3 linked regions of the Caenorhabditis elegans genome follow. The protein of the gene in region 1 purifies or fractionates together with the protein of each later gene. This does not show direct contact. Each region holds a gene or a part of one and is shown in the gene's direction. Other genes may lie near its edges.

Evidence for each region.
Region 2: the proteins of lys-4 (region 1) and F53B2.8 fractionate together in Caenorhabditis elegans (co-fractionation; one large-scale study listed by BioGRID). This does not show direct contact.
Region 3: the proteins of lys-4 (region 1) and fkb-2 fractionate together in Caenorhabditis elegans (co-fractionation; one large-scale study listed by BioGRID). This does not show direct contact.

Annotation. Positions count from the first base shown.
Region 1 is NC_003282.8:11,616,581-11,628,091, reverse strand, and holds lys-4 (LYSozyme), read left to right. Parts: upstream 1-4,917; 5' UTR 4,918-4,993; coding exon 4,994-5,195; intron 5,196-5,786; exon of another isoform or gene 5,787-5,807; intron 5,808-6,153; coding exon 6,154-6,596; 3' UTR 6,597-6,663; downstream 6,664-11,511. Other genes in the region: lys-6 (LYSozyme), read left to right, coding at 157-358, 688-1,130; lys-5 (Lysozyme-like protein 5), read left to right, coding at 2,518-2,722, 3,354-3,796; dsl-5 (Delta-like protein), read left to right, coding at 7,154-7,204, 7,251-7,618, 8,049-8,176, 8,229-8,590.
Region 2 is NC_003282.8:12,521,672-12,532,423, reverse strand, and holds F53B2.8 (Coiled-coil domain-containing protein 86), read left to right. Parts: upstream 1-5,027; 5' UTR 5,028-5,204; coding exon 5,205-5,226; intron 5,227-5,273; coding exon 5,274-5,354; intron 5,355-5,573; coding exon 5,574-6,025; 3' UTR 6,026-6,193; downstream 6,194-10,752. Other genes in the region: F53B2.5 (Importin subunit alpha), read left to right, coding at 1,284-1,319, 1,714-1,884, 1,933-2,058, 2,103-2,240, 2,401-2,646, 2,696-2,869, 2,915-3,005, 3,053-3,126 and 2 more; Protein eak-4, read left to right, coding at 6,915-7,157, 7,207-7,371, 7,611-7,946; sru-13 (Serpentine Receptor, class U), read left to right, coding at 9,803-10,033, 10,303-10,512, 10,554-10,712.
Region 3 is NC_003279.8:12,913,636-12,923,897, forward strand, and holds fkb-2 (peptidylprolyl isomerase), read left to right. Parts: upstream 1-5,086; 5' UTR 5,087-5,091; coding exon 5,092-5,289; intron 5,290-5,342; coding exon 5,343-5,471; 3' UTR 5,472-5,645; downstream 5,646-10,262. Other genes in the region: fkb-8 (peptidylprolyl isomerase), read left to right, coding at 2,880-3,123, 3,539-3,738, 3,807-3,945, 3,999-4,201, 4,254-4,340; pfn-1 (Profilin-1), read left to right, coding at 8,405-8,530, 9,375-9,647.

The DNA of each region.
Region 1 (11,511 bases):
ATTGCACTCAAAACTCAAAGAAAACAATCTTGATGTTTCATCTCCAATCAATGCCTCTGGATCGACGTCAGAAAATCGTTTAAAACGAATTGTGTCCGGGTTTCCGAAATCATATAAAACAATCAAATTGTGAAACAAAAACTCTAGATTCAAAATATGAAGCTCCTCGTCTCAACTCTTATCTTAATCAGTGCAGTCAGTGCCGTCAGAAATGGAATTGATTTCATTCAGCCAGTATCTGTTGCTACATTCACTTGTGTTAAAAATGCAGGATATTCTTTCGTAATTCCAAGAGTTTTTACTTCTGTTGGAACAGTTGATCATACTGGAATTCAGAATGTGGCCAACGCAAGAGCAGGTGATTTTTGAAGAGACATTTGAATTACAGTACCATTTGATAGTTGGGTAACACATTTTAATCATAATAGAAACATTATCTGTCAAAAATGCAAAACTATTATGCAAAACTATTGTTAACGCCAAGCCAAGAGCCTATTAGATTACGGTCAGCGAGTTCAAATGAGGCTTCAAATGGTAACGTGAGAATTCGAAAGTTTTAAAATTAGTGAAATCAAAAGTATGAAGATAACTTCCGGGTATACTGTTTAAATTTTCAAAGAGGCTTAATGGTTACTGTAGACTCCCAGTGTAGCTAGAAGTTGTTTGATTTTTAAAACACTGTTGCAGCTGGCCTCACTGATGTCGATGGATACATCTTCCCTTGCCTAAAATCGACTTGCGCATCTGCTGCTAACCAAGTTAAGGCGTCTCTTGATGCAGTTAAGGCTGCTGGAACTAAGATCTCCACTCTATGGCTTGATATTGAACGTCTCAATTGGCCAGCTGATCATGCTAGCAACCGTGCATTCATTGAAGCAATGGTCAGTGAAGCAAAGGCTTATGGACAACAAGTTGGAATCTACAGTAACTATTACAATTGGCAAGATATTGTTGGATTGGATTATCATGGACAATCTAGTTTGATGCTTTGGTGGGCTGCATACGATGGAGTCAAGGATTTCTCGAAGTTTGCTGCTTTTGGAGGATGGTCATCACCGACAATTCATCAATGGGAAGGAACTACTGCTGGACCATGTGGGGTCTCTGTTGATATGAACTATGTTCCGTAAATAGTCACTCGAAATGTATTCGTGTATTTCAAATAAAGTATTGAAATATTTTTCACATTCCTTTATTTTTATTTTATTCAGAAAAAGTCACAACATGTGGTAGCTGATGGCTGTTCACAGTTATGAATTCTGCGTTTTTTCTAGTTGTTTATAAGTTTTACCATTATTTGTATCTCTAGTATCATTGAGGAAGAAAATTTCCCTATTAAGTACTGATAACTGTGAACAGATTCAAAAAGATAGTTATAACATTAGGTTTATGTTGTTTTGGATTTAATTTCATATAATTTCTAATTGAAGTTGGTCTTTATAATGAAAAAAAGGAAATAAATTATAAGAAATAACGAAGAGGAATATTGAAAACGCCTAGTTTTAAAGTTGGGGGCGGAATGCTTTGAAAAAGAGAATTATGAAACTTACAAAGGTTTAGAAAAAGTATTCGTCAATTTTGTGTTGGCTCAAAATCTCAAATCTCAAAAAAAAAAAACAAATAGAATATTGGACGACCCTCCGAAAGTCAGAATGTAGTATGTACAAAGAAATCTCTCTGTCAGGTTTTACAACCACCGAGTACGTCCACATTGTCACATGTTGTAAACAGCCGATAGAGACAAAGAGAATCCCGAAAGGGAGGCAACGCAGATTGCTCTCTATTATTTTTACAACCATTCAGTGTTTTGAGGATGCATAAGACAAATACCAAACTGCCGAGTATACAACGTCACACTCGGAATAAATAAAGATGATTTATAGAGTCAACCGAAAAAGGGTACATGAGGTGAATACTGGTTCAACCTACCTACAGTCCTGCGTACAGATTTTCTACTCTGGAAACTTTGGCTATATATTTTTGGGTTTTTTATAATTTTAAATCCCGATTCACGAAAGCGTTCTCAGGGCGAGAGCCCGATTCCGCGAAAATGTTCAACGTTTTCCAATTTCCATGTACTCCTTGGCTATAGTGGACCTGTCTGAATTTGTGCTAGACCCAATTAGAAGACAAAGAATATAAGTACAGTAAGTGGAAACTAGAAAATGGTTTGGAAGCCAACATCAGTTGCAAAACCACGTGCAATCAAACAAAACCAAATAATGATAGAGAGAGAAGGAAACATATGATAATTTAGTCTAAAGATAATTTAGATCAAATTCATGTTGGATTGAACATCTTGATTAAGAATTCAGTCGTAGATCTATTCTCAATATTTGTTATTTTATCATTTTAACAATATTTATTAACGAATTGAAATGAAAAAAAAAAGAAACAAAATATTGAGCTCTCTTGAAATTCCTGATTTTATCTTTCCGCTTGCGTCAAAGTCATAAAAGTCTCCGGTATCTGGGAAGTATAAAAGAAGTGTATGGAGTCTGAAATGTCTGGAGAAACATGAAGCATTTTTTCATTACAATCCTTCTTTTCTGCAGTGTTGTAAGTGCAGCTAGAAATGGAATTGATATCAATTCACCAGTATCCACTTCTACTTTTACTTGTATTAAGAATGCTGGATTTTCATTCATAATTCCCAGAATTTATCATTCATCGGGAAGTGTAGATACTGTTGGAGTGCAAAATGTCAAGAATGCCAGAGCTGGTAGGTTTTTTAATGAATTAATATGTATGCTGTGAATCATATTCATTGAATGCCCTATATTTATTTATGAATACATTAGAGACTTACCTTAACTATTAAGGTTACTGTAGGAAAATGCGCAAAATATTATATTCTGAATCTTCGCTTTCTTGGAATTTAGGATGTGGCAGCTTTTTGTGGAAATTTTTTACAGTAGCTTCGTGGCGAGAACCACCATTTGAATAGGACAAACGACAACTGAGATATTAATTGTCAAAGTTGAACAATGGGATGCAAGACTAATAGAGGAAATATTACATATTAAAATTTTCGAGCTAAAAATATTTAAATTATGTCTATAGAAAGGTAACTTCATTTTAATTATAATAGAAACATTATCTGTCAAAAATGCAAAACTATTATGCAAAACTATTGTTAACGCCAAGAGTCGAAACTCCTATTAGATTACGGTCAGTGAGTTCAAATGAGGCTTCAAATGGTAACGTGAGAATTCGAAAGTTTCAAAATTAGTGAAATCAAAAGTATGAAGATAACTTCCGGGTATACTGTTTAAATTTTCAAAGAGGCTTAATGGTTACTGTAGACTCCCAGTGTAGCTAGAAGTTGTTTGATTTTTAAAACACTGTTGCAGCTGGCCTCACTGATGTCGATGGATACATCTTCCCTTGCCTAAAATCGACTTGCGCATCTGCTGCTAACCAAGTTAAGGCGTCTCTTGATGCAGTTAAGGCTGCTGGAACTAAGATCTCCACTCTATGGCTTGATATTGAACGTCTCAATTGGCCAGCTGATCATGCTAGCAACCGTGCATTCATTGAAGCAATGGTCAGTGAAGCAAAGGCTTATGGACAACAAGTTGGAATCTACAGTAACTATTACAATTGGCAAGATATTGTTGGATTGGATTATCATGGACAATCTAGTTTGATGCTTTGGTGGCCTGCATACGATGGAGTCAAGGATTTCTCAAAGTACGCTCCATTCGGAGGATGGTCGAAGCCAACAATTCATCAGTGGTCTGACACCACTACTGGTCCGTGTGGAGTCTCTGTTGATATGAACTACATTCCATAAATAATTTTTTAGCGCTTTAATAATAAAGTGTATATTTCAGTAAACAACATTCGTTCATTATTATGATTTATTCATTCCTTTAATAACGTTTGAGAATTGCTCCGAGCAATTCAAAGTAATCTGAAAAGCATCGAAAATTACTTGAAATTTAATAAGGAAATTCAGTTTTCGATGACTAATTTTTATTTTGAAACTACTAGAAAGTCTATTCCAACTTTTATAATAATTTCTGCAATAATTATTGAGGAATTCCTTAAGGAATGATACAGTACGCAAATGAGGCATGTACGTTATTATCAATTTTTGTGGAGTATTTCGTCAATTGATCACATTTTGATGCCATCGTCGGTAGCAGAAATCACGTGCAATCAAATAATGATAGACGAAGCAAAAAGGTTGATAATGTAGTCTAATGTGCGAAGTTCAAATTGCTAATCGAAAAATAAAACACATTGGGGAGTTGGGTTTTCAGAAAACTCGGTATATTTGAAATCATCTGAAAATCGGCTAATGACTTTTAATACAATTCCCGGTATTTTTTAGGAAGATGTACCGTCAAAGAGAATAAGTCATGAGCTCAAAAGCTTTCTAGGTCACAGCCGACCTGTGATCTGAAGCAGGGAACAAATCAAGAACATAATCACGTTTTCAAGCATCTAACTTTAAGCACCTTATGTTTTCTCAGCTTTTCACGCTTCCAAACAGATTAATTAAGTTATTTTCAATAAACTGTATAAACTTCAAAAAATTTACAGATAAACAATGAATTTCACAATGTTTGGATTGAAAAATTGATAATTTCTTTAGTGTTAATTTAGGCAACGCCAACAAACCACGCACAAGCCTGCTGCCGGGACCATTAGCTTGTAGAAATAATACAGTACTCGGGAGGGTCGAAGGTTTCAATTTTAGTTCTTTTGATCTCATTGTTGCAAATATTGAAAAACGACGAGAGATAACGGTCGAGAAACCCCGAGAAATATTTTCGAAAATGAGACGAAAGTGTAGTTGCTCTCCATATTTTGTTTCATATTTTACATCAGCCTCTGAATAAAACAAAAAAGATAAGAGAAGAGGGTTTATGAAGTTTTTGATTTTATCTTTCCGCTTGCGTCAAAGTCATAAAATTAGAATCTCCGGTATTTGGGAAGTATAAAAGAAGTGTGTGAAGGCTTAATCAGGGGAGTTCAGAGAATCATGAAGTTCTTCGTCTCGGCTTTGCTTTTGATCGGTGCTGCAAGTGCAGCTAGAAATGGAATTGATTTCATTCAACCAGTGTCTACTGCTACATTTCAATGTATTCATAAGGCTGGATATTCTTTCGTAATTCCAAGAGTCTTTACTTCTGTTGGAACTCTTGATCATACTGGAATTCAAAACGTCAAGAATGCTAGAGCAGGTGAGCATTTCAGATGGGTATCAAGGAATGGTTTTTACCATTTTCAAAATAATTTCCATTCTTGGCAATTTGGTTCTCCTTTCCCTCGCGATTCTTCGCCTCACACTTCTAACTTATAGGTCTGTGCATACTTCCTAGTATAAGTTATGAGTATTAAATTTGTAAGAAAATACTTAAACTAACAAAATCTTATCTCTTTTTCTTATTTCTTTTTGTTTGTTTAAAAACTGCCATCAAATAATTCAAATACACATATTCCCAAAAGTCAAGATGTAGTGGTCAATGAAATATCTTTTCGTTACGTTTTACAACCATTCATTGTCCCCTCTGACTGTCTAGTTTACCAGGGCATGCATTGTCACATGATTGTAAACAGAGTATGGAAAAATAATAATATTCAAATATATTTGTCAATAGGTTGAATATAGAATTCAAAATTTAAACTAATCTTGCTCTTTAATATGTTTTACAAGTATACATACAATGCATCTAGTGAGTGAAACAATATATTACCTCTTGAAACTAAAAAATGAAAAAAAAAATTACAGTTTCTTTCTAAGTATTATTGTCCAGAATAGCAGAAAATTCCAATTTAGGTGATGGTTCGACTGAAAATGTAATATGAATGTTCAAACTTGTAGGGACTACCACAATTATGCTTTTCTAAAAAATTAAACATTTTGGAAAAACTTCCAAAAGAAAAGTTTTAGGTGAAAATTTTTTCAACCATAACTAATCATATGATCCTTTTGAGCTGAATATTGAGACCGTAAGGGGGCCCTTATGATCACTTTAAGTTGGAATAATCAGATCATAAGGATGAGCTTTATAGTATTCCAAGTCAATTATAAGCATTGTACGGGTTCGAACATTCAAACTGATAATATTCCAATTTATTAAAACATCTGAAGTTTTCTACAAGTTTCATTCAGTACCAAGCTAATTACAAATTTTGCAGCTGGCCTCACCGATGTCGATGGATACATCTTCCCATGCTTGAGATCTAACTGCCCATCTGCTGCCAATCAAGTTAAGGAAACTCTTGATGCTTTGAAGAGTGCAGGAACTCATGTCTCTACTCTCTGGCTTGACATTGAACGTCTCGCTTGGCCAGCTAATCACGCCAGTAACCGTGCATTCATCGAGGCAATGGTCAGAGAAGCTCAAGCTTACAAGCAACAAGTTGGAATCTACAGTAACTATTACAATTGGCAAGATATTGTTGGATTGGATTATCATGGACAATCTAGTTTGATGCTCTGGTGGGCAACCTATGATGGAATTAAGGATTTCTCAAAGTTCGCACCTTTCGGAGGATGGAGCAGACCAACAATTCATCAATGGGAAGGAACCACTACTGGCCCATGTGGAGTCTCTGTTGATATGAACTATGTTCCATAAATAGCTGACCAAAATGTATAAACATGAATAAACAAATTTTTATATGTAAACCCATACATTTTCGCTAGTTTCAGACGCGCAATTGATTTCTTGATTTTTTGAAACAATTTAAAACTGTAAAACTGACAACAAATGGGTCAGTTTTAGAACATTCGAAAATTATGTTTTATTTTCAATAATTTTTTGTTACTTATTTAAAAAATTTATCATTATTGTTCGGAGACTTTAATTATATTCTCATTCAGAATTGTTTTCTATTTTTTTAAATCTAGACCTGTGAGTTTCAAGTGAGTTTCGGCCAAAATAGTAACATCAAAATGGCTTTACATTTCAAAAAGCAGATACGGTAAAACTTAAATTTTTGTTCTCTTTTCTTTCAAAACTATTATGTTGTTGATCTTCTAGACACGTTGTCAAGTCAAAATGCGTAGTGATGACGTCACTTGGGGTAACCTTGAATTACACAATTGACCTCAATCGAATCAAAATTAAAGTTGACGAGTACAAATATTTAGTCTTGTTTTTTTGTTTCTCCATCTCATTATCAACATTTCAACATGCAACTTCTTGCGATTTCTTTCTTATTTATAACTTTTATTATTGAATCGGTGAGATTTTTTGAACCACTGTAATTTTAAGATTTTATTTTTACAGATAATTTGTTCTGGATATCTAGAATTACATATTCAAAGTCCTCATATACAAACCGCAATTGTGAACATCTCATCAAATTTTCGAACAGAGAAATCAAAAATAGTGCATTTAAAACTTAAATCTAATGTACCATTTAACGTTACAAGGATTCCTGTGAACTTTGATAATATCTACAATATAACCATAAAATGTGGAAAATCAGAGGAAGATGGCAAGTTTAATTCATATTTTAAAAATTCAACTCCAAAGTATTTGGGTCTAACTGACACAACAATTGTCTCAACTGTTCACCCACGTGTTGGGCTGTTATCACCGGCTGCTGTAGCCAGACCTTTAAATGGAATTCGAATCGTTATTGGTTGTAATAAGTAAGCTCGTTTGTCTTGAAATTGGATTAAATGTTTGTCACAAGACAACTTAGAAATCACACGGTACTGTAGAAAAAAAAGTAAATATATCTTGTGAGCATGTTCTAGAAATCTAGGATTTCGTCTGGAAATTTTTTATTTGGAATTTTGTATTCCGTGCAATTTCTATTGATGACAGTGAATTCTGGTTATAGAGCTAACGGAAAAATTGGAATGTTGCTCAAATTCTTTGTTTATACTTGACATACTTGACTACGGTTCTATCATAAATTTCATTGTAAAATCTAGCTTTTGAAGAAAAGTTTGTCAAAATGTCATTTTAGGTCCTACAACATTTCAGTTCATGATTATTACGGCTGAAAGTCTGAAAGTCTAAAAGAGAAAATATACCATTTTTAAATTTTTTTTTGAATCTGTATCATTGTTTTAGAAATTGGTTTGGTGAGAAATGTGAAACTTTTTGTGATGAGAACAAAGCAACCAACTCGGGAAAACACTGCAATTTTCAAGGAAAACCAAGTTGTTTGAATGGATTAACTGGGTCAAAGTGTGAAAAACGTGAGTTGCATATTTTTAAAACTAATCTCTACGTGAGTTTTATAAATTGCAGTCATTGTTCCAAAGTTGTGTAACTGTGAGAATGGTGGAGTTTGCATTGATTCAAATCCAAAACCAATTTGTGAATGTTCGAAAGCCTATCGCGGTGAAAAATGTGAAAAGAAGCATATATCAGCGTCTCTTTCCTCACATTATAAAGGAGACTTTTGGAATTTTCGAATGACATTTTGGCAGTTGATATTCTCGAATTTAGTTGAGAATGAGTTGGCAGAGATTAGCAAATCGGAAGCTTGGGAAACAATTAATAACCTATTGGGAAATGTTTCTGATACTCCGTTTGCAAATCGTCCAAATAATACGGAAACATTCCCAATAACTGGTTCTGTTAATCTTGATAATGTTGATATCATTTAAATTTAAGTTCTATAAAATCATTTGAAGTAAATAAAAACATTCACAGCTTTATTGTGATTCATTGTGACAATTTCATGTATAAAACAACTGAACCATTTATTTATCAAAATATTGTACCATTTTAATAAATTTTCAAGCTCTAACAATTGAAGTTTGCCCTGAACATTAAAAAAATGGAAAGCTGCTGGAACATTTTAAAAGTTGTTGTTTTTCTCTTAGTATTTCCTAATATTTTTTAGATGGTTTCCGATAGTTATGGGAACGTTCTGCTACATTTTTAGTGTTTTTTTTTATTCTGAAAACTCGTAAAAGTAAAACCATAAATTTCATAATTTTTGAGAAGTATCAAAATTTTCTAAATTAACGTCGAAAAGTTGTGTATTTCTCAAAAGGAACTCATCGCGTTTTCCTGGTAACCTCTCTTGTCTTTTCAATAATACGTCTTCCCACATGCAGATTTGCAGGCAACAGTGGTCAACTACTCAAAGGAAAGCGACACCAATCTATATAGTCTCCCCAGAGAGAGAGAGGAGAGAGAGAGAGAGAGAGATCTTCCCAGAAGCCTGGTTGTGTATGTGATTCTATATCGATCGCTATGTGCACACCGAAAACGCCGCGTTTGCAGCCCCCTAGACCGACTCCAATGTTTTCGGTCATTCATTTTTTTGCTTATCCCCCCTTCTTGTGAGTGCGATCCACTCAAATATAAAGGGTTCCTGGCGAGGGCCATCTGATTAGGGTGCTTGCACTAGGCCAATTTGGGGACTCGTGTTCTGTGGATCAGTTAAGGAAAACAACCCTAGGTCTTTTAGCTGGTTTTGCTACAGCTTTCTTTTTTGTCCTGAGTTGATTAGTTTGAAGAAGATTTCCGATCAAAATTTTAACTTTTTAGCTAATTAATTTTTTTTTCAAAAAAAGAAGAGTTGTAACTCTTCTAATCTTTCAAAGTTTTTTAAAGTGCTCTTCTTGTGATTTTTCAAATTTCCATTCTCTTCTCCCCTTATCCTTCTCCCTTATCCCTTCCCTTTTACCCTCTCCCCTTCCCTTTGCAAAATCGATGAATGGATGGATCGACGATGGATGGATCGACGATGGATGGATCGACGATGGATTTTGACAACTGTAATTGGAACAGTAATCTCGATCGAAGGATTTCTCTCTCCTTCTTTTTTCCCATTCCCAATTTCCAATTCTCACATAGATAGAGCACTCTTAGTCTTATAGTCTGAAACTTCTAAGGACAGAAGTTTCTTAGAAATAGTTCTTGTAGTATTCAAAGTTTTCTTTTCCAAACAGAAGTTAGTTAATTTATCTAAACTTCTAAATTCTGTTATTTATATTAAACTTCTACACACAGAAGTTAACTTCTACAAACAGAAGTTCAAATATTACACCTTTTAGACAACTGTCTAAAACGGAAGATCGGAATTGAGGCTTAAGCTTTTCTTATACCGAACTCAGAGGTAGTGAATAAAGGCTAATTGACCAATAGGGAATGCTAGTACTTCTGATCCTAGATGAACAATGTAGAACCGATGTTGTGTCTTATCGGGTGGTTTTTGCTATATGGTTCACTATTGAGTGATATTGTGCAGTCCTAACGGTATAGGACATCACTTGAAGAAGCAACTCCTATTCAAAACTATCGCCACCAACTGCATCAACAACAAGCAACAACAGCACGACGAAGACGGAAAGGAAGAGGACGACGACGAGGAGGTACGTAAGATTTTATTTCTAAATTTTCAAAATTTTTGATTCAAAAATTCGAACTTTAGTTTACAAAAATCAAAGATTCCAAAAAGTGGAATCATTATTTTTTGCCGAAACCGAATTTTTCTTTTTCAATCCTGAAATAAAATTTCTGAAAATTCAGGATTTTTTTCGAAATAAAAGCTCTCACGAGTTCCAAATAGTTTCGGGGAGAATCATTCGGTCGGGGCATTCCGGATTGGCCCCGCCCACAGTTCTGTACCTTGCAAAACGGTTTCAAAAATGAAACATGGATTTTCAAGGCACAGTTCTGTGGGCGGGGCCAATCCGGAATATCCCGACCGAATGACCCCCCCCCCTCCTCCTCCGGCATTCTTTCTTCCCAGGAGTCTTCTTCCCAGGAGGCCAAAGAGGTCTTCTGATGGAGAGGGGGAGAGCTGACCGCGTGCTCTTCTACTTCCCAGGAGCAAACTTTTCGAATAGGCGACGCCGTGTAATGAATTTCCTTCTCAAAACGAATAATTCCGAAATTTATAGAATAATATTTTTGCGAAACTCAAAAATCAACATAAAAATCAAAACTCAGTCAAAATTCGAGCAATAAAGATTCAACAAAAAAACTTGAATCAGCATTTCAAAAAGTCCAGATTATTTCAAAGAATTATTTATTTCCTGCTTTACAAAAATGTGGTTTTTTACAGATTTCATAATGGAACGAACGACGACGGAAGGAAGAAACCGGTGGCGATGGTCTGGAGTTGAATTGGATCGAGATCACACTCACAAGATCTCGAACCACAATGGATCGAGATGGAACGATGGACTCGAATGGAACAATCGGGATCAGCGGACAGGATGGATCGAGATGGCGGATGGACGACGACGACGACGACGACGTCGACGAGGACGACGTCGACGACGAAGGATGGATCGGGATGGATCGGGATGGATCGGGATTGATCTGGATGGCTCGGGATGGATCGAGATGGATCGGGATGGATCGGGATGGATCGAGGTTAATCGAGGTGGATCGGGATGGATCGGGATGGATCGGGATGGATCGGGATGGATCGGGATGGATCGAGGTGGATCGGGATGGATCGGGAGGGATTGGGATGAATCGGGAGAAGGCGACGACGACGACGACAACGACGACGACGACAACGAAGGATCGGGATGAATGGAGGCAATCCGAAAGTTCGGAAAAC
Region 2 (10,752 bases), 900 kb from region 1:
CCCAGGTGAAAATTTTCATCATTTTCATTGTTGGAATTACGCAACAGATTCTGTATCTGACGTTTGACATTTTTGAACCCCGTATTTTGTTCAAATTCAAATTCAAATACCCTATCCGTCGTCCATTTCTATTTTCCAATTTCCGGCGGCAATTTGATGGGATAGTGATATGACAATCTGTTACTCATTCCCTTTGGCGGTTTTTGTAGAGAACAATTGCACTTTATTCTAGATTTAAATTTGAGTTGGGGAGAAGTTGGACAAGATGGGAACACGGGTGTGCTAGAAATATTATGAAGATTTATGAGGAATTATATAGTAATTAATAAGTAATGAAATAAGAAGACTAGATGCTTAAATTGCTGTTAAATTAGAACTACAACCATGGTTCTTCTTTTCAGCTGTATCGCTAAAGTTTGGCGAGCGGCATTACATAAGAGACGTCACATGGATAACTGATATTTGACTCAGATTAATGCTTATAAATATGTCGTTCGTTAACAAATGTATGCGAAAAGAAGACTTTCCATTTTCGGTGGAAGGACTCAAATTCGGGCTCCATTTCATTGCAGCCCATGTTTCACAGGATCGATTTTAATTCAAAAATGTTTAAATCTCGCATGTGTGACATTCTAATTTCCCCTTGCTCAAGATAAAATCTTTTTTCAAGAACTTGTGTGAACACACATTCGACCTCTAAAAATTCACAAATTCTACTGTCTGCGTTTCATCGCTCCACGTTCTATCTTGCCAAATTTTCCTCGATTAATTGACAGCTTCACAGGAGATAGGTATCTATAGATGGAACCGAGAGGAACACACAATTTGGCGTATGTTATTTATGTATTAAGTTGGCATCGTTCTAGATACTTGTTGGTAGATCGAGGGAAAGTCACACTTGATCCCGGAGAATCGTGGGAAGAGAAGAAGAGAAATTTAAACTAAGAATAGGGAAGATTCACACTTGTTGTCTGCTAAGTGCTAAAACCTAGTGACCTAGGTTATGAACGGGCATTAGATTTGGAACATGTTGTGTAAAGTGGGAAAATTGAAAATTCACAAATTCTCTTTGCAGGGATTTCTGCTTACACTAACTATAAGAAAGTTCAAATATATTTTAATAAGAAGTGTATTAGATAATTAAATTTTAAAAAATTCACTCAAAATCACTGCAATTCTTCCACGCGATATTCCATTCGGATTTTCTCATACGTGCAAACAAACACGTGGAACTTCCAATGAAATCAATATAACTTTATTTCTGTTTTACACTCGCGGAGAATATGGTTAAATCTACAAAGAAAGCGAAGCAGGAAATGGTAAGAGTATATCAGAATCAGACGGCTGGCAAATCGGATGTTTCTCTTTTTTTATGCTGCAATGGTTTACCAAGAATGATTTTTTTGGCGGGGCAAAACCTGAATTTTTTGTAGTTGAGTTGCACTCGCGCTCCAACGCAAATTGAAAACCATAATTTGGTGGTCGTTATGTATGTTAAACTGTGATCTCGATTTCTTATTATGGATGGGACCGTTTTCATTTGACATTGGAGCACAATTGCACTTCCATCTCAAAATACACAGTGTTGGCTCGCTATAATGAAATTCAAAAAAATCTGATACGCAGAAAGGAAAGCCAAAAAAAAGCATAACGTCCGACTTGTTAGCCTCACTCGGACGGCAACTTTCTATCTATACTTCAATTTTTATACAGAATTCCCAACCTGAACAATCAGCAACATTTGACATTTCCTTTATCATCTCAATGCTCGAATCCTCATGCCGTATTCAACTGTCCACAGCTCTACACTTTTTTCGTAAAGCTTTTGCCAATCAGTCAGATTTATCGAACATCGCTCTGAAGGAGCAGTTTTATGGAAGAATTGTTAGTTCCGACGAAATTGTTTCAATTAATTCAAACTCTTTTTTTTAGAAGAATGGCGTTCTCAATGCTCTTCGTAATCAAACGTTAGACATTGACAGTGAGGTTAACGCTGTTTGGATTATCACTAATATGTGTTGTATTAGCCAGGAAGTTACTCACTTGTTTGTAAACTCGGTCAGTCTGAAAATTGATTTTTAGGAAAATTGTTTTTTTTTCAGAATTGTCTAGATATCTTGATCAAACTCGTTCGGTCTCAAAACGCTCGTCTCTCAAGTCAAACTGTTTGGGCAATTGCAAATATTGCAGCTGATTGTTCTTCGTGCAAATTGAAATGTAGATCACCTAAACTTTTGAAGGTAATTATAAGGGTTTGTAGGACATTTTAGAATCCATCCACAGCACAAATGAAAACAACTGTTACGGCTGCATTTAGGCGCTTTAGGCAGGCGCTTCAGGCAAGCGTCTGGCCTTTGAAAGCATGCCTGTCTACCATGTCTAAATAAATTCCAACTTCAGATACTCGCCAGAAACTTACAAACGTCGTATAAACTCGACGATGCAGACCGACGCCAACTCATTTGGTGTGTCAATAATATTTTTTCCGGTGGCCGAACAACGATGCCATCACCAGTAGCTCGTTCACTTATTTGTGCTTTGTCTGCAATTTTACTCGACACAGACGCTGTCGATAATATGGGATGTGGTTCAATGATTTTATGGACTCTTGCCAATTTGGTTGACAACTCACTAGATACCACACGGGTTTGTTTTCGGATTATTGTTAATCAAAGTTCTTTACTAAAACTTTCAGATCGACATGCTTCTTTCCCAAAACTACGTTGTTGAGCATATTCTCGAAAAATTTATTGATCAAACGGACAAGTCATGCAATGTTTCATGCCTCCGCCTTATTGGAAATATTGCAGTCGGGAATGATGTTCAGACTGATCTGTTGGTTGATAATCCCAAGTTTAGAGTTGTTATGGTACGTTTTTGACATCAAAATTGAAAATTAAAAATATTTTTTCAGAATATTGCAATGTCATCTCCGGAGCATCACAGTGAAGCCGCATGGATCATATCAAACGTTGTTGCCGGTGCTCCAAGACACGTGGATTACAGTTAGTTTTATATTTATTTGATTACTGAATAGGATCTATGTTTTCAGTAATGGATGATCCAGATGCTTTCTATGAATGGGTGATGGCTGGGATTCATACTGGAGACAAACGCTTGAGAAAGGTAAGCTGATATAAAATTATATGAACAGTATTTTATTTATTAGACATGCACCACCATTGTTTTACATTGACAGGGCATATATCTCGATTCACTTCCGTTTTATCAAAAAATTGTCAACTGAAGAAATACGTGCAAAATGTTTTTCTACGTTTTGATAGTGAAATTGTTTGATAACACTTGAGACAGTCAAGATATGAGCCGTCAAAGTGAATTAATGAGGGTGCAAGTACAATAGAGACAATACTGTAGTTAGCTTTGAACACATCTTTTGAAACAAAATTTATTTTCGAGCTTAGAAATTATCTATGGTTATTTCAGGAATGTCTGTGGATTATTGGAAATCTATTGGCAACTGCAGATGAGCATCAAACGTATCTTCTCGTCTCCTTAGGAATAGTACAGCATTTTCCAGCTCTTCTCGATTTTGATGATGTTCGTTTGAATGAAAAGGCGGCGACAACTGCAACTGAACTGCTCCGTGAGCATCCATGGCAGTACACATTGTTCCAACGTTTGGATATTTTGGGATGTATTGAGAGAGCTGGAGCAAACGTTAGTTGAATATCCTTAGACTTAACAATCCGTGTGTTTCAGTTTTCGATTCAAAAAGCCGAACTGAAATCTTTGATGAATGACTTGGCGCCACCTGAACGGAAAGATGAAGATATTGCCAAAGGATGTTCTGTGATTTGCTACAGCAAGCTCTCAGACGACTTTCACAGCATGAGCATTTGAATTTACTCGTTTGAAAATAAAAATACGAATTTTGATTGTGTAGGTTTAAAATATCAACCCATCAATCAGCAGAAAATGTTGTCTAATTACGTTTCTGTGATATTTAAAATTACTTGAACATTTCCAATACACCTGTTTTTATTTGTTCACTCGAATTCCAATCAGATTACTGACAGATTACTGGCTCTTCAACTGCGATTTTTCTACCGGTTTGTGTACTCTTTTTGGACAATTAGATGTTATGTGCACTTCCTGAACAGGTGCATAAACAATTGATGAGATGATGATGAATAGATGGATTAGGAATGGGGGAAAGAGGATTTTAAATGTTTTTGGAACATAGGGGGTAATTACCGGTAATTGATTTTTTCCAAATTTCTTCACTCCTAAAATATTTCAAGTTTTCAGGCAACAAAATGTGAGAAAAAGGATTTTTTTAAAGTTAAATATGATCAGTAAAGTGTCGGCTTCCATGATTTTTACAAATACACAATTATTATAACATCTCTTTTAGGTTTTTAGGTAGATTTGCATTAACTTTGCCAAAACTATTCGACTCTTCCAACTACAAAAATGTTTTCCAGTTTGAATTCAAATACCCGTCGTCCTTTTCTATTTGCCAATTTCCGGCGGCAATGTGATGGGATAGTGATATGACAATCTGTTACTCATTCCTTTTGGCGGTTTTTGTAAGGAACAAAAGCACTTTTTCTAGATTTGAATTTGAGTTGGGGAGATGTTGAACGACGACGATGAGCTGTTAGATGTTTTAAATCTTGAATTGTATAGTAATTCATAAGATTAAAAATCAGAAAACTTAAAAACTTAAATTTGAATATAAATATACCATAACTTTATGTCATCGATAAAAATTGGTCACACAGTAAAAACCGAGGGTTGCTGTACCTGGCAGTAGTCTGAAAAAATCAAATGTTAATGAAAATTTCGAATATTAAAAAATTTAAAACATTGCCTAAGTTAAAATTTTCGAAATGCTGAAATGCTTTGGGTGTAATATTTGTTAAGCATATTTCTAGTGAATTTTGTAGTTAAAAATTTCAACACTTTGATTTCGCAATCCCGTCACCCATCTTTTCCCTCTGGGTCTCACGATTTCCCCATACTTTCCAATAATCTTTCCTGTCAACATTCCCATTTCACATGACATTTTCAATTTTAATACTACCTTACTCATAGTCAACATCACTATTTCAGAATTCCACACTTATAAACATTATTGATGATAAAAACTCTTTGATAAGAAATTGATACAAAAACCCTCCTCAGTGCCTGCAATTTCAGTGGTTACTTGTACTGCTAAAATCAATTGCTTTGAACTGAAAATGCCAATGGGCAAGAAGTTGTGTAAGTTTTTAAAGTCGAGAAAAATTTGAAAATGCTCAAATTTACAGTGGGAAAGCTTAAGAGAAATAAGGTGGAGGAGCCACAGGTGGAGCCGGAGGAGGATTTGGGAGATGCTATGAGTACGCAAGGTTAGTAAGGAATTACATTTGACTTTTAGTGTTGAGCGTCGATTGTAGTGTTCGGAAAATTTTAGTTCACTGAACGGTATAGCAAATACGCAAATTTGACGCGAAAACTTTATAAACAACAGATTTGACGAGCAAATTATCGTAATAAATCTATGTGATAAGTCTAGTTTACGTTTGGCAGATTATATTACATACTCGAATGAGATTCGCAAATTTCAGAAAAAGATGACGTGAAAGTTGGGAAGAAAAGAGCCCCGAAGAATAACATGGGTGGAAAGAAACGACTGAGATCCAAGCTGGGAAATGTTGGGAAACACCAGAAAAGGGTACGCTCCAAGGAAAACACTCCGGAAAGAAAGCTGGAAAAATTGGAGAAACTCGAACTTCAACTGACCTTAAAACGAAGTCGAGAGGAGCAGAAACGAGCCAAAAAAGATAAGAAACTGGAGAGAAAAGCACTGAAGATTCAAAAAAAGTTGGAAGCTTTGAGAAGCATCAAGGAAAAACCACATCAAGGCTCTGAAGCACAAGGGCCAAAAGTCCCCAGAGCCAGAAAGATCCGGGTACCAGCCCCAAGACCACCCCGTCTTCCATATTTGGCTCTAGTCGCCAATCTTCATAAGGCTCCGAAAGCATTGCGTGATATGAGAGCTGCTGCTTCACGCCGTTAGTGTGGGCTTTGGATCATTTGGAAGAAAAAAAAATTGTTAAGTGGAAAATTAATAAGAAGAATATGAATCTGGATGTCAAATTTAATTTGTGGACGTTTTGAATTTTTCACTTTGAAGTTTTTATTTGTTAATAAAAAATGTTTGATTCAAAATTTACAAATTTCAAATCAGCATACCAAAATCTTCGAAATGTAATCATGATTCATGAGAGGTCTCGCCATGAAAACTAATGGTTATGGTAGATTTTTTCAATCTTATTCGAAATTTCAATTTGAAACTTGATCTTCAAAGTGAGACCACATTTCCCACTAACGTTTTTTATCTGCTCACTATCAGATCAAATTTAAGATTCAGAAAACTTGCTAGCTACAGTAACCGACACGTTTTGTAGTGAGACCCGATCTGCTTCGTAAAAATTCACATCTGCCTTGTAAGGAGACCTACACCTGATTCCTGCCTACAAAACGTGCCTATAGACTTGCAAAATTATTTCCGATCCTTTAATTGTTTGCAAAAATTCAGATGCCTAGGCAGTAGGCAAGCTTGTAGGCAGGCAAGAATACAGTAGGAGGAAACGTGCTTGCCTACTGGAATTTGGGAAATTTCTTCATAATCCGGTAAATTAAATTTTAAGGAGAATTCAGACTGTTCCCACAGCAATTTAAATCCACTTCCCTTTCCAAATTTCTGTGTCTCACTCCACTTTTGTTATAATTTTACGAATTTTTATTGCTTCCCCTTTTCCTAATTTACAGTATTCCTTGTTATCGAAAATATGTATGAATTCTGAGAAAAATTGGTCAAAAAATATAAAAAGACAAAAAACAATTAGCAGCCCCAGACCATCTCGACAATTTCCCCCATTCATTCTTACTTCCTCCCCACCATCATGGGACAATGCCTTGCCGTTCATCGCCGAATCATGGCGTCACAGGAGTTTCCGAATATTCCTCAGCCGGAGTCGCAGTGTCATGATGCATTTATCCGGTATTCCCCAGGAAGATACGAACGTCGGGCTGCACGATCCCAAGTCGACTATTATCTACTCCCACAGGCACCGCGGTTGATGACTGAGGATTTGGATAAGAAAGAGTTTCAGCGACTCTATGATGCTCGTTGTGAGCTCGTTGAGGTGAGATCTTTCACAATTTAATTTTGAAAAAAACCTTCAATAATTTCAGTGTCCAGCCGGAAGGCGTGCAATGCAACTGGATGTTCAGATCTATGCGGATCGTTATGAGGCGACGCTCAACAAGATTTTGGAGACTTCTCAAGAGCTTGACAAAGGCCTTGAAGACATTTTCCAGGCCTACACAAAAGATGATCCACTGGCTGATAAGGTTATGGTGAGTGGTATTTCGGAAGGGATTAAGGGAAATCAGACGGGTTGCGTAACTGTCAAAATCATTCATTCTGGCGCGCCAAAGTCATGCCCAACTATTGCCCAAGTTTAGCCAACTTCTAATCCAAGTTAATATTTTTTGGGTCAAACTTGGACAAGAAGCTAGAGCCAGATCCCGGGAATGTATCAATATGATCAAATTCCTTAACCTCTATTTTACATGAAAAATTTAATTATATTTAGAACTGCCGCTTGACCGTCGACGAAATGGGACGAGTGTACGAGCACTTCTTCCGCGAATCGGCATGGAACCTTGACAGCTTCGTGGAGTACCGGAAGAATCTGGCACGAGATGCCTACTTGCTGCTTGCGGATCTGAAAATCGCAATCCAACGTCTCGGCATGCACTTCAATCCGAACTTTGAAGACGCGCAAGTCAAGGTGGACTTCCAGATTATGCAGGCCGAGCAGATCATCTTTCACTTCAAAAGGACATACAGGGACGCACTGAAGCACAACCCTGACTCGATTACAGAGTTTGTGGAGGACGAGCTGGAAGATCCTGGAACACCGTTGTAATTTTTATTGTCATTCTTTTTCTGCCGTTTTCTTATCCTTCCCCATTAGTTACTGTAGTTCAGTCTTTTTTGAATTTCAATAAAACTACAACAAAATCAACATTTTTCAGTAATACATAATATTCTTTAATTTTGCAATGTATGTCTAGACAGCCAAGAGTTAGAAGAATTATAGAAAAGGAAGCAATTGTAAAGAAAAAAATACTTTTCGAACTTCGGTTTTCATATTATGTATAATCATGGGACGAATAAAAAGACAGAAAAAAATAATTTAAAAACAATATTTTAATAATTTTGATACAGTGGCCAAGAGGTTTCGTGGTAGGATCCTAGGCAAGAAATGGGTCCTGAGTAGATGTGAAACTTTTAAATTTATAAGCCTTAGATTTGGAAATTTAGATTTGTTTTCAAAATGAAAACATCCGATTTAAGATTAAAATTGAGTGAAACTTGTTGAGAGATTTAAATTATGTCACCATATATTCCAATTGAACAGAATTTTGTGGTTGCTGACCAAGTCTGATGATGAGCCAAAGTATATGGCTAAAAAAAGTAAAAACTACTTGTTCTTCCTGATGCGTCGGTATTGATATTTGACTGTAATCACAAAAACCTTAAACTTCGAAAAATCGAGTACATTTTTCAGCACATGTGTCGTGCGGTGATCTCAACTCATAATTACGCCCAACTTCGAATCCCTGAATTATACCTCATGTGATGCCACATTTTCTCAATTGCTCGTCATGTCTAGCAAAGTGTGTCTGAATTTTATTTCATAACAAATTATAGCAAAAACGTGTAGTTTTGCTGTTTCGCACACTTGATGCTGTTACCATAAATCTGAATCAGTTTTTGAGAGCAGATTTTCAAACGGTTTCAAGTTTTTCAATTTTTTTTGGAAACTCACATCTTAAACCTTGAGTATTTCTTACAAAAACATTTTCCTAATTTTTAAAAACTTTTCATGACGCATGAATGAATGCAAATAACGGAATTTCCAACTTTTACAAAATTTAATTTTAAATTTGAGAAGATTATTGTGGTTATTTTAAAAAAAACATCAACCTTAGCTTTCCGTAAAATGATTTCCGATTTTCCAATTGTTAGATAATTATATTTTCACCTATTTTTTTATGCGGAACCAATATTTGATATTGCAAAAACCATTACCCTTTTTATGAGCTGTTTACCATTTATAATTCCCAGTATTTGCCAATTCAAAATTTCCCACCGGGAAAGTCCTTGTTTTTCTACATTTTCTGTTTTCTGCAACCATTAAAACACTTTTTCATAAAATGCATCATCTTTTGTACATATGTCTTGTGAGGAGCACTACTCATAATTACTCTAAGTTTTGAATCACTGTGTGTTGCCAGGTTTTCATAATTGCGTGTCTAGTAATCTTTCCCTGACATTTTTCAATGAAAAATTCTAGCAAAAAAAACAAGGTTTTGAGGAAAGATAAGCTTTTTGGCAACAAAATAATGCTCTAATGTAAAGATGTAGAGGAGCATAATTTTAACTTCTAACCTACATTTATTTTTAGCAGATTTAGTCAAAAAATATGCACTCTCTTCTCACCTTTTTTACCCTAATCTAATCACCAAAATGAAACATTTCCAGTCTTTAACCCTCGCAAAATTTATTATTCAAATCAAGATAATTTGGGTTATTTTGGAAACGGAAATGTCTAGAAAAACGTGCGCTTTTTAAGTTTAACTGCACTCATGAGCATATCAATTAGGATTTGGTCAATTTTGCGTTTTATCTATTTCCTCAAATTAATATTTTTCTTGCTCATTTATGACATATTTTAGACGTTTCAAATAAATTTAAAAATTCCAGAGATTTTAATTTATGGACATTATGAACAATGTATCAATTCAAGGAGATCAACGATATATCGACTATAAATTTGATTTTTTCACATTTCCAGTGCTTGTTGCATGTGTTCCGATGACATACTTAGTACCAACTGCGTTTATTATTTTAAAAGTTTTCAAATGTTACTATAGGAATTTGGTTGGAAAACAGGAAGCAACTATGAATCCACACGTATTTTTTGTGATTGTTATGGCTCAGCTTACGGTGGGGTTTGAGAGAAAAATAAACTAAAGTGGTTTCGCAAATTCCCGAAGAAATTTAAAAAAGAAAAATCCGACAAACGTTCCTTTGTATTTTTCATTAAAAAATTTTAACACCTATTTGTGAACGTGTCCTGTGAATTTTCAAAGCTCTCTGATACTCTTTTGCTTTAGTATTATCTTATAGTCAGTATTTTAAAGCAATTTACCCATCGCAGCGACAAGATTAACTTCAAAAACACATAAAGTTCATGAAATGGTTCTTATTTTCAGAGCGTATTTTACATGATATCTGATTATATCACTATCCGTCTCCCATTCACCGGAATCATGACATCTTGGTGTGCATCTCAACAACCAAATCATTTCCTAAAAGTCTTATTTTTCTTTTCTATATATTTCACTTATGTTTCATGGCTATTTCCATTCCTTTTATCAACGTTACGATTGATTCCCGTTTATTTCCCGCGCAGACATAATCAAGTAACTCATGTTTTAATATTCAATTGCTAAATTTTTTTTAGCTATGCGCCCGGCTATCTAATTTTGCAATTCCATTCATCTACCTCTACCCATTCATATTTACATTCTCCCTGATACCGGCTCTAGGATCATGTCGACAACTTTTGGGCCCTTATAAATTTGGTTCTATTTTTATTTGGTTTACGGGGAACTGGTTTGATGTTAGCAAATTTAAAATTTATTTATCGAAAAATTCAAATT
Region 3 (10,262 bases), on another chromosome or scaffold:
CGGACGCCTATATCTCCGTTGAAGAATTTTTTATGGCAAAGTGATCAACTACAAAGTTGTTTATCTTAATCTAAAGTACTACTTTGTAGTTAATAGTATCTCATCAAAAAATTTGATGGTCGAGATAAAGTTGTGTTAAATGCAGCAACTTCATGCTTAAATTTTCTTTATCCTTTTCTGCTCATATCTCGACCATTAAATTTTTTGATGAAAAACAATCAACTACAAAGTTGTAATTTCAATTAAGATAAACAACTTTGTAGTTGATCACTTTGTCGTAAAAATTTTTTCCACGTAGATGTAAGCATCCAAAGTGAATTCGATTTACATACATAGGAGTTCTACTATACCTTAGGTTTTTGACTGAAACTGTGTTCTGAACATCCAAACTGAAAAAAAACAACCAAAATTGCATTTTTCTATAAGATCCAACCAAAATCTGAAAAGTTTTCAAAAAAAATTTTTCGAAAAAAATTTTGAAAATTTTTGTAAGGGGGGACCCTTTGGATTTTTTTCTGAAAAAATTGAAAAAATTTTTTTTTCAAAAATTTTCAAATATTCATGAGATATTGTAGAAATCACTTACTTGGTTGTTTCTATACATTTTCTTGCCAAAAAAGGTGTTTTCTATAAGTCAAACCGGCATTCCTTGGGGCTCTGAACAATAAAACCTCCTGTCTTAAAACGGATGTATCCAATTCTAGAGACGAGGTATCAAAAAGCCTTCAACTACAACCATGTTAAGCTTGAAGCAATAAACGCTTTCATAGTTGTAGGCATCTTTTCATCTTTGTCCAGAACTGAGATATTGTTGAGCACAGATCTAGCATATTATGGTTGTCTTGGAGCTCACATCTCCGCAGCCACTAAAGATAACTAGAAAGTACCCACTAACAGAATGTTTTTCATATTGTTGCCAACAACTTTTCAATTGTCTACATTTTATTAATTCAAACACCAACAGAGTTATAAGTCTTAGAAAGTAAGACGTCTATACGCTCAGTCAACTCTAATTTGGTTAATTGTTTAGCTAAAAATGCAATATGAATGCCCAAACTTGTAAGAACTACCAAAATTGTGTTTTCTATAAAGTTAAACACTTTTTGAAAAAATTCCAAAACAATTTTTTTTTTCAATATTTTTTCAAACATAAGAGGGAAAATTTTAGAGCTGAAGATTCAGATCATAAAAGAGGACCCTTGTGATCCTTTGGAGCTGAAGATTCAGTTCATGAGTGGGACCCTTGTGATCCTTTGGAGCTGAAGATTCAGTTCATAAGGGGGGACCCTTATGATATTTTGGAGTCTTATCAGTGTTTTTATAATTTGAAAAAAAACCGGAATTTTTTTGAGAATTTATTTTTAAAAAATTAAAAAAATTTTCTTGTTAAAAATTGTCTTTAAAATTTGCAAATACAGTGTGAAACTATCACTTTCCGTATAAAAAAAATTGGAAGAAAGAAAAAACTAAATTTGAATGCGCTCGCAGAAGGTGTTCAACAGAGCGCGTTTGCTTTTCGAGCCTTTCGGGCGCATTAATTTGAAGTCTGTCTTTATTAGCCGAATTTCTGATAGAAGTTGCGATTTCTGTCCTATTTCTAATATTTTCAGCAATTTTTCACAAACTTCTCGCATTATCTTTAAAGGTCGGCTATTTTTAGCAACTTTTTTAAATAAAAAATATGATAATGTATGTTTTCTTTTTTTAAACGAATTTTTGATGCCTTCATTGTTTGTCGTGATTTTACTATTTTCTTCATGTCGCTCACGAAATGTTCGCCAAAACTCTGAAAGTATAAACAATTTATCCGCGTTTTCTTTCGATAATTGTCTGAATAGAGAATCTGTGACCTCAATTTTACCTTTTCGATATAAATAGGGTTTCATTTGCTGGAAACATTCCGATATTCATGAATTCCTTCAGAGAAGTTCAGTTCGACCATAGCCTCAAGAAATGAGATAATGAATAATTGATTCAGAGATAGTTTTTATCAATTTTCGACTGTGACTGAATGACTAGAAAAATTATCACGTGAGGTTGAAAGACAATTTTAAGTACATGTTTTGATAATGGCTCAGGCCGTAGCTAGAGCTTTTAAGGAACAATGGAAATACAACTTCTTGTAGGAGTTCGATGTGTTATCAGCGTTTCATTTTTTAAGCTTCAACAGATTTTTCCGCATCGATGAAACTGTAAGAAAAATTGTCGTCTTTCCCCGTGACTCTTTGCTTTGAGAAATCCGCTTAACACATGGTTCCAATTATCAATTTATATGCAAAGTTAAAACAATATTTTAAAAAAATAGTGTAAGCCTTACGAGGAGATGCAAACGGCAGCAATTTTAGCCGTTAGCCGCTTTTCTCGATTAGCCGAATTAGCCGTTAGTCTAAAATTTCGAAACACGGCTTAAACCGAATTTGCCGTTAGCCGAAAAAAACAGTTAGCCGTCCACCCCTGCTCCAAATGTGAAAATGTATCTTTCGCCGATTCCAAAAGTTAGAGAAACTTTATGTTTCCTCGACGATTTTTGACCATTCATCAGCTGCTGTTTAATCTGGCATTTTTGAGATTTTCCTCAAGTTTCTCATAAAAATCCTCACTTTCCACAAAACCCAGAATTTTCAGCATTTTTTTTCAATTTTTCTTGAAAATTGTCAGAGAGGAAATTTGTAACCAAGAATCTGCTCTTTTTCTGAATCACGAAAAAAAATTCAAGTTTTCTCATTTCTCTGAAATGATTCGCTTTGCTCCTTAACTGCAATGGAGTGGTTGATTCGAATCAAGTTGAAAAAACATAAATTTTAGTATCCGATAACATCGCGAAATAATAAGAAGGAGAACAGCTTCAAACAATATCAAGCAACATCAGATGTAGAACAATGAAGGACCAAAATGGAGTAGCAAGCACTGATGACTCTGTTTTACCTTCTTGGAGTAACCCAGACGTCGGACAATTCATTGTGTCGACGTACAATGAGTACGAATACAAACGGATCCCATTTCGTGAACTGGAATTCGGATGTCTTCTATGCAGGATGAGAACATTCAATCACGAAGGAATGAAAAAACACTTGAGGGATCACGTAGTCCACAAAAAATCTTCATGTGAGCACGAAAAACCAGGTAATTCGCATTTTGTGTGAAATGTACACTCAAAATGAAAAACTGCGTGGCACGTACTGCAGAAAACATAATATTTAGGCCCCGCCTTTTTCTCGTCCACTCACGGAGAAAAGGCAAAAATCGGAACCCAACCAATATCAGGCCGCCGACATCTCACGGGTACCGCGCGCCGCTGCGTTTAACTCGCTGTGGGCGTGGCAAGTTGTCTCCGTGAGATGTCGGCGGCCTGATATTGGTTGGAATCCCGATTTTTGCCTTTTCTCCGTGAGTGGACGAGAAAAATGCGGGGCCTAACTAAATATTAGGTTTTCTGCAGTACACGCCACGCAGTTTTTTGTTATTTGGAGTGTAGAAGATATATAAATTACAAAAACTTTTCTTATTTTTCAATCAGAAATCTTCTATTTATTTTTAGGTAAAACTGGAATTCATCATCAAGTTGACAAAGCTGGAAATGGTGTAATGCCAGAGAATGGGCAACTTGTTCAGTGCTACATCGAAATTAAGCTTGCGGATTGCTACACATCTTGGTCCAATTACGAGAGCCAAAATCCGATTATCTTTAAAATTGGATTCGGTGAAGTCATTCCTGGTTTAGATATCGGAATCCCTAAGGTATGTACATTTTTATTGATTTTTTGCAGAACTCAATTTTTATAAATAAAAATTCAATGTTCTTTCAGATGAAAGTCGGTGAAATCGCAACATTTCACGTGAGTGGCAAATATGGTTACGGCCGCGCTGGGTTCAGAGGACTGATTCCTCGAAACGCTTCCCTAACTTGCAAAGTTAGGCTGTTCAATTGCTCATGGGACTCATATGGTAGATTTCTCCTTATTTTTGAGTTATAAATCTTAATATTCCCTCTTTTTCAGCAAAAATTGGCGTCGATAGACAGATTCTCGTCCAGGGCGACAACGTCACCAAGTCAAAGAACGGTCAGACCGTCACCTGCCACTACGTGCTCATCCTTGTGGACGGAACGAAGATCGACTCTTCTCGCGACCGCGAAACTCCATTCAAGTTCAAGATTGGAAAGGGAGAGGTCATCAAGGGATGGGACCAAGGAGTCGCCCAGGTTTGTACATCGATTAGCTCAATTTCAATATAAAAATTCAATTTTCTTTCAGATGTCAGTCAAAGAGAAGTCGAAGCTCACGATTGCTCCGGCTTTTGGCTTTGAAAAAGGCAAATTGCCAGCAGGAATCCCAGCGTAAAATAAAACGAATTGGATACATGCTGCGTACTTTATGAACTACCGTAGCCAGGAGAAAAATGTTTAAAATCAAAACTATGGTATTAATTTTTGTTCACTTGTTGTTGACACGATTGCCATAAATTTCAATTTTTAATTAAAATGCTTTGAAATTTTATTAATTTCCTTGTTTTTTTATTTATTTCTATCGAGAGAACTCATTTTCAACGATTTCCGAGAAAGAACAAATTTCTCTGAAGAGACGCAGACACTTACCTTAAAGGCGCATGCAATTTCGCGGCAGCGATATCTCGCCACGAACAGTGTCGCGCCTTGTTCGATTTTACTCTCGCCTCGTAAACAACCCATTTTTGCTTGTTTTTCACCGATTTTTGGTCATTTTTCAGAGTTTCTTATCGAAAAAATCATGTCAGACGCCCACTTTTCAATGACAAATAGTTGTTCTTCGAAAATTCAGTGTTATTTTGGCCTAAAATCGGCTAAAACTCTGGTCATCAGATTTTTGTTTACTTTGCCGGTTTTTTCCTGTTTTAGGCCATTCTTCTGGAGTTTTCTATCAAGAAAATCAGTAAATCAACTGAAAATCAGAAAAGCAACCTTATTTTCGAGGCAGAATTATCGATTTTTGAAAAATAATTGTTATTTTGGCCTAAAAACAACTTGAACTCGCCCTTGAACAATTTCTTCCTTTTCTTTGCCATTTTCTCTTTATTTCTGAGTTATAAATCTTAATATTTCCTCTTTTAGCAAGAATGGGCGTCGACAGACAGATTCTCGTCGAGGGCGACAACGTCACCAAGCCAAAGAACGGTCAGACCGTCACCTGCCACTACGTGCTCACCCTTGAGAACGGAAAGAAGATCGACTCTTCTCGCGACCGCGGAACTCCATTCAAGTTCAAGATTGGAAAGGGAGAGGTCATCAAGGGATGGGACCAAGGAGTCGCCCAGGTTTGTCCATCGATTAGCTCAATTTCAATATAAAAAATCAACTTTTCTTTCAGATGTCAGTTGGTGAGAAGTCGAAGCTCACCATCTCTGCCGATCTTGGCTATGGACCACGCGGAGTTCCACCACAAATCCCAGCCAACGCAACTCTCGTCTTCGAGGTCGAGCTTCTCGGAGTCAACTAAGCTGCCCGTCTCCGTTTGCAGCTCCGTTTTAGCAGCTGCCGTGTGCAACCTCTCCATAAATGATATCAATTTTTTTTAATGATTCCAAGTTTTCTTTCTTTTTCCCCCCTTAATTTTCTCTGTAAACTAAATATTTCTTCCTATCTAAGTAGCATAAATTATTTAATCTTTAAAAACAAAATGGTTTTTCTCTGTGCGTGTTGACGTGGCGTTTGTGTGTCCTTGAAGTCGAAATCTCCGATTACCTTGCCAATTTTACTCTTTTATTCTTTTCTTTTTCACTTTTTTGCCTCACAATTCATTCGTAATTGTGTGCGCGGGCGATCCTTGCGTAGCGCCCGTCTTTCTCAGAAGACCATCTGTTCTCCATTTTCGAAACAATTCAGGCCTCCTGTTCATTAGAAATACACAAGACGAGAGGCGGAAGACGCCTCCCCTTCGATGATTCATAGTTATTTTTATCATTTCAGATTCCTCCGCCCAGTGGGATGGTTTAAAAATCATTGAAATTCGCCATTTTTACACATCTTTTCTTGAAAAATCTCCTCTTTTTTGTCTCCAAAATTGATTTTTCAGTTTTTCCGACGTTTTTCCACTAGAAATTGGCAAAAGCCAGCGAAAATTGAGCAGAATTTAGCTAAGAGTACGGTAGTCGCCTAAGTACGCAGAGTTGCGTACGATGCATTCCATTTGACGCGCAAAATTTTCTGATCGCGAAAAAAGATTTTTGACCTCAATTTTTTGATCTGCCCGCCAATTTTCGTCGTGTTTTTCGAGAACTGGTCGAAGAGGATGACAATTTCTTCATTTTTCCACTTTTTTGGCCGGTTTTGTGACGTTTTTACCGATTTTCCGCAGGTTTTTCACAAAATTCTCGCGTTTTCTCCCAAAATTGATATTTCCAGCAGTTTTTTCCGCGTTTTGTCTCGGTTATTGCCAGAATATATTTTCCTCATTCTCTAGCAAATATTCGCTAATTTTCCTGATTTCCACCCTATTTTCTTCCGGAAAGTTCAGTTCGTTCCATTCTTGCTTTAAAACTGTAAGGAAGGAGCGGAAATAGGTGATTCAGAAAGAGTTTTTTATCAATTTTCGGCATCCGATAACGTCGTGAATCGAGAAAAATAAAAAAGCTATAAAAATTATCACATAGCGTAAGATTTCGACTAGAAAACTCTCAATTTTCCTATTTTTTTTGATGAAATTTCAGCTCACAGTGAGTGTTTTGTAGAAAAATGTAAAATTTTCCCCATTTTCCCCATTTTCCGCTTTCTGGAGTTTATTCGTTCGATTTACTGACAAAATCTTCGGGTTTTCTGCAATATTTATAGAAAAATCCGGCCAATGCTACGAAATTTCTGTTTTTCGCGGCTCTTTTGACTATTTCGTGACTTTTTTGGGGCTTCGATCATCAAAATTTCGAATATTTTTATGATTTTTGAGCATTTTGATGTATTTTTTTTCTTCTAAATGACTTTCAGATCTCCTTGGCAGAAAAAACTGCGAATATTATAACAACTTGAAGCTTCCTCGACGATTTTTGGCGACCTGCTGTTCCATGTGACTCACCATTCCAATTTCGCAATCCACTGGTCATTCTCGGCATTAAGATCCATTTTCAGCGCTCAATTTCGCAATTTTCAAAGCTAGAAAGCTTTGTTCAAATTGAATTGTTTCGCAACTCGTCTTCTATCGCCTTTTGGTTCTCTTTCTCCTCCGTCGTCTTCGCTGTGTTCTCTTCAAAATGATTCATCATTGGCTTTGGTTGTGTCTCTGGGTCTGTGTGTTCAATATAAATTGCAACTGCATTTGACATTAGTATGGATTGAGGCGGGTTATTTCACCCTCTTTTAGTAGTACACACACATTCAATTTGATGGGCGGTCTCTGTCTCTCTTTTCGTCCTTTATGGGTGAATAACTGACCAGCGGAGCAAGCAGGCAGGAGCAGGAGCACAAGCTCGTTGTTCGGGTTGAAAAGGGGAAGAAGGAGAGCACCAGATGGCATGCAAACATTCTCTTTCTCTTCTTCTCTCTATTGCTTTTCCTCACTGTCATTCACTGCTTCTCCATTTGCCCAGCCAATTAGATGGAGTGTTCCGGGTGGTCAAAGATGTCCTCTAGTTTTCGTAGCAATTTTCATCTTTCGGAATTTGAAATTGGAAGTTTTCTTTAATTTCTCTCAATTTTGGGTCATCTGGCGATTTTATGCCATTTTTCTTGTGAAATTAAATTCTCAGATTGCTCTAGATAGTTCAAATCCTCTAGTAGTTGAAAATTCGCCTCAAAACGTTGCTTTTTTAAAAAGAATTCTCCCTTAAGTTGGTCCTAATTTCTCGAGGCGAGATCTTCCAAAAGCTGAATTTTTCCAAGTTTTCTACATCTGAAACTCGAAATATTTACTATTTTCGTAGTTTTTGGTAGTTTTCGGTGTTTTCGAGCTTCAATTCCGCCTTTTTGGCCTGAAAATGGTCTGAAAATCATCGAAAATTGGTCAACTCTAGGTAAAATGCCAATTTTGGTTTAAATCGGCTCAATTCACAGAAAATTTCCAAGAAATTCATGAAAGAAGCTCAATTTTTGCACTACATTGGCGAGAAAATTGTGAATTTAGTGAGATTTTGTTGGTTTTTGTCATTTTATCCATTCGCAAGTTCTTCGCCACCAACTTACACCACAGATAAGCAAAAAATCTGCGGAAATATCAATTTTTGGGTATTTCGGCATTAAAATTCCATTTTTTGCGCAGTAAATCAAAAAATAATCGATTGTTTACAAAAACCGTAATTTTCAAGCGATTTTATGCTCTTTTTCTCCTAATTTGTGCTCTTTCTTCATATTATCATTTCTCATTACCCCTCCAACCATCTCAATCATAATTTATGTTTATTTTTTCAGTATAATCTCCGCTTCAACCTCCTCCAAAACACAAAAATGTCCGGATGGAATGCCTACATCGACACAATGACTGCCGCTGCTCCATCAATCAAACGGTGTGCAATCGTCGGAGCCGCTGATGGATCTGTCTGGGCTCGTACTGAGGCTGACAATGTGTTCAAGGTATGGAAATGGACGAAAATCATCGAAGAAGCTCGAGAAAAAATCGATTAAAACTGGAAACGATTGAAAAATCCTTAAATTGACCCATTTTTGAGATTGAAAAGAGCTAGCGGGGTCGATTTTTGTTGGAATTTTCGCATTTTGACCCAAAAAACTGAAAATCTCGCGAAATTATTCACTTTTTGAATTGAAAATCGAAATTTTTAGCCGCTGAATTTACATTTTACAGGAATAATTAGCAAATCCACTCAAAAATTGCAAAATTTTCATTATTTTTCGAACAAAATTAAAAAATTCCAGATTAGGCAGGCTTCAGGCGGCCGTGCCTGCCTACCAGCCCCTGTTTCTCATATAGTTTATACTTCTTCGAAACCCAAGTAGGCAGCAGACAGGCTTAGGCTACCTTGAAGGTCAGGCAAGTTACCTGCCTGACTACCTTCGAGGTGGCCTGCCTGATACCTACATTAGAGCCTACTTGTATTTCAGCCGCCTGAAGCCTGCCTACTCTGGAATTTTCTAAACTTTTTTTTTTCAGATTTTTCAATTTCATGAAAATTTAGAGTTAAAAAGCGTTAAAAAAAAAATTAAAATTCGAAGATTTTTTCCTGCAAAATGTAAATTCACAGACTGAAATTTGTGATTTTCCAGTATCTCGGCCAAGAATAAGCCGATTTTTTTGGAAATTTCAGTGTTTTGAGGCCTAAAAATGCGAAAATTGGGGAAAAAGGCTAACTTTAGGGTTACTGGATTTAAAATTTCGAATTTTTGGAAATTTCAAAGCGCAAATTTTTTAACAAGAAATATTTCCTGTCCAAAAACTTCTCTAATTTTTTCCAATTTCCAGGCATCCGAAGAAGAGCTCAAAACCTTCGTTGCCCTATTCAATGACGTCACTCAAGTTCCAGCAAAAGGAGCCGATATCGAAGGAGTTCATTACGTCGTTCCACGTACCGAAGAATCGCTCATCTTCGGAAAAAAGGAGAACACTGGATTCTTCGCTGTGAAGACCAAGTCTGCAGTCTTGATTGCTGTCTACGAGGGACCAAATGAAGTTGCTGCACAAGTTCGCAAGGCTGTCGAGAGTATGCAAACCTATCTCAACAATGCTGGATACTAAATACTTCTCTCTCTATCGATTGTTGTTCGATTCGTATTTATTCCCGCTTTTCTCTATTTTTTTTTTGCAAACTTCCCCCTTCTCCCTTCTCCCAAACCTTGATTTCTACGAGTACAACGATGAAATTCGGTTTTCTTCCGCGTAATCTTTCCCTCAAAACTCCCATTCCCAGAGCAAACACAGAAACAGTTTTTATTTCACTTTCAGCTTTATCATAATGTATTGTATTCCCCCGTTTTGTTTTCTAGTAAATTCATTGCCAATTCAATGCCTTCTCGATTATTTCATTTTCATCTCCCATCGACGGAGAAAGAGAGTGAGAGAAGAGTTTTGTGCTCGGAGCAATTATCGCGTGTTTTTTTCGAAACCACGCCCACACTGCAATTGTGCGGCGCGGTTTTTTGGTCAGAATCATTTTACAGATTTTTATCATCGTTTGCAAAAATCGTTTAGAGAAAAAAAACTCGGAAAAAGATGTCTAGAAAATGAGGGAAAAACAATTAAAAAGTAATCACATTTGTCAAATGAAATTTTCCACAATATCTTACGCGAATGGGTCTCGCTAGGCAGACAACACGGTTACTGTAACTCCTGTCGGTTTACAGTAACCTGTTG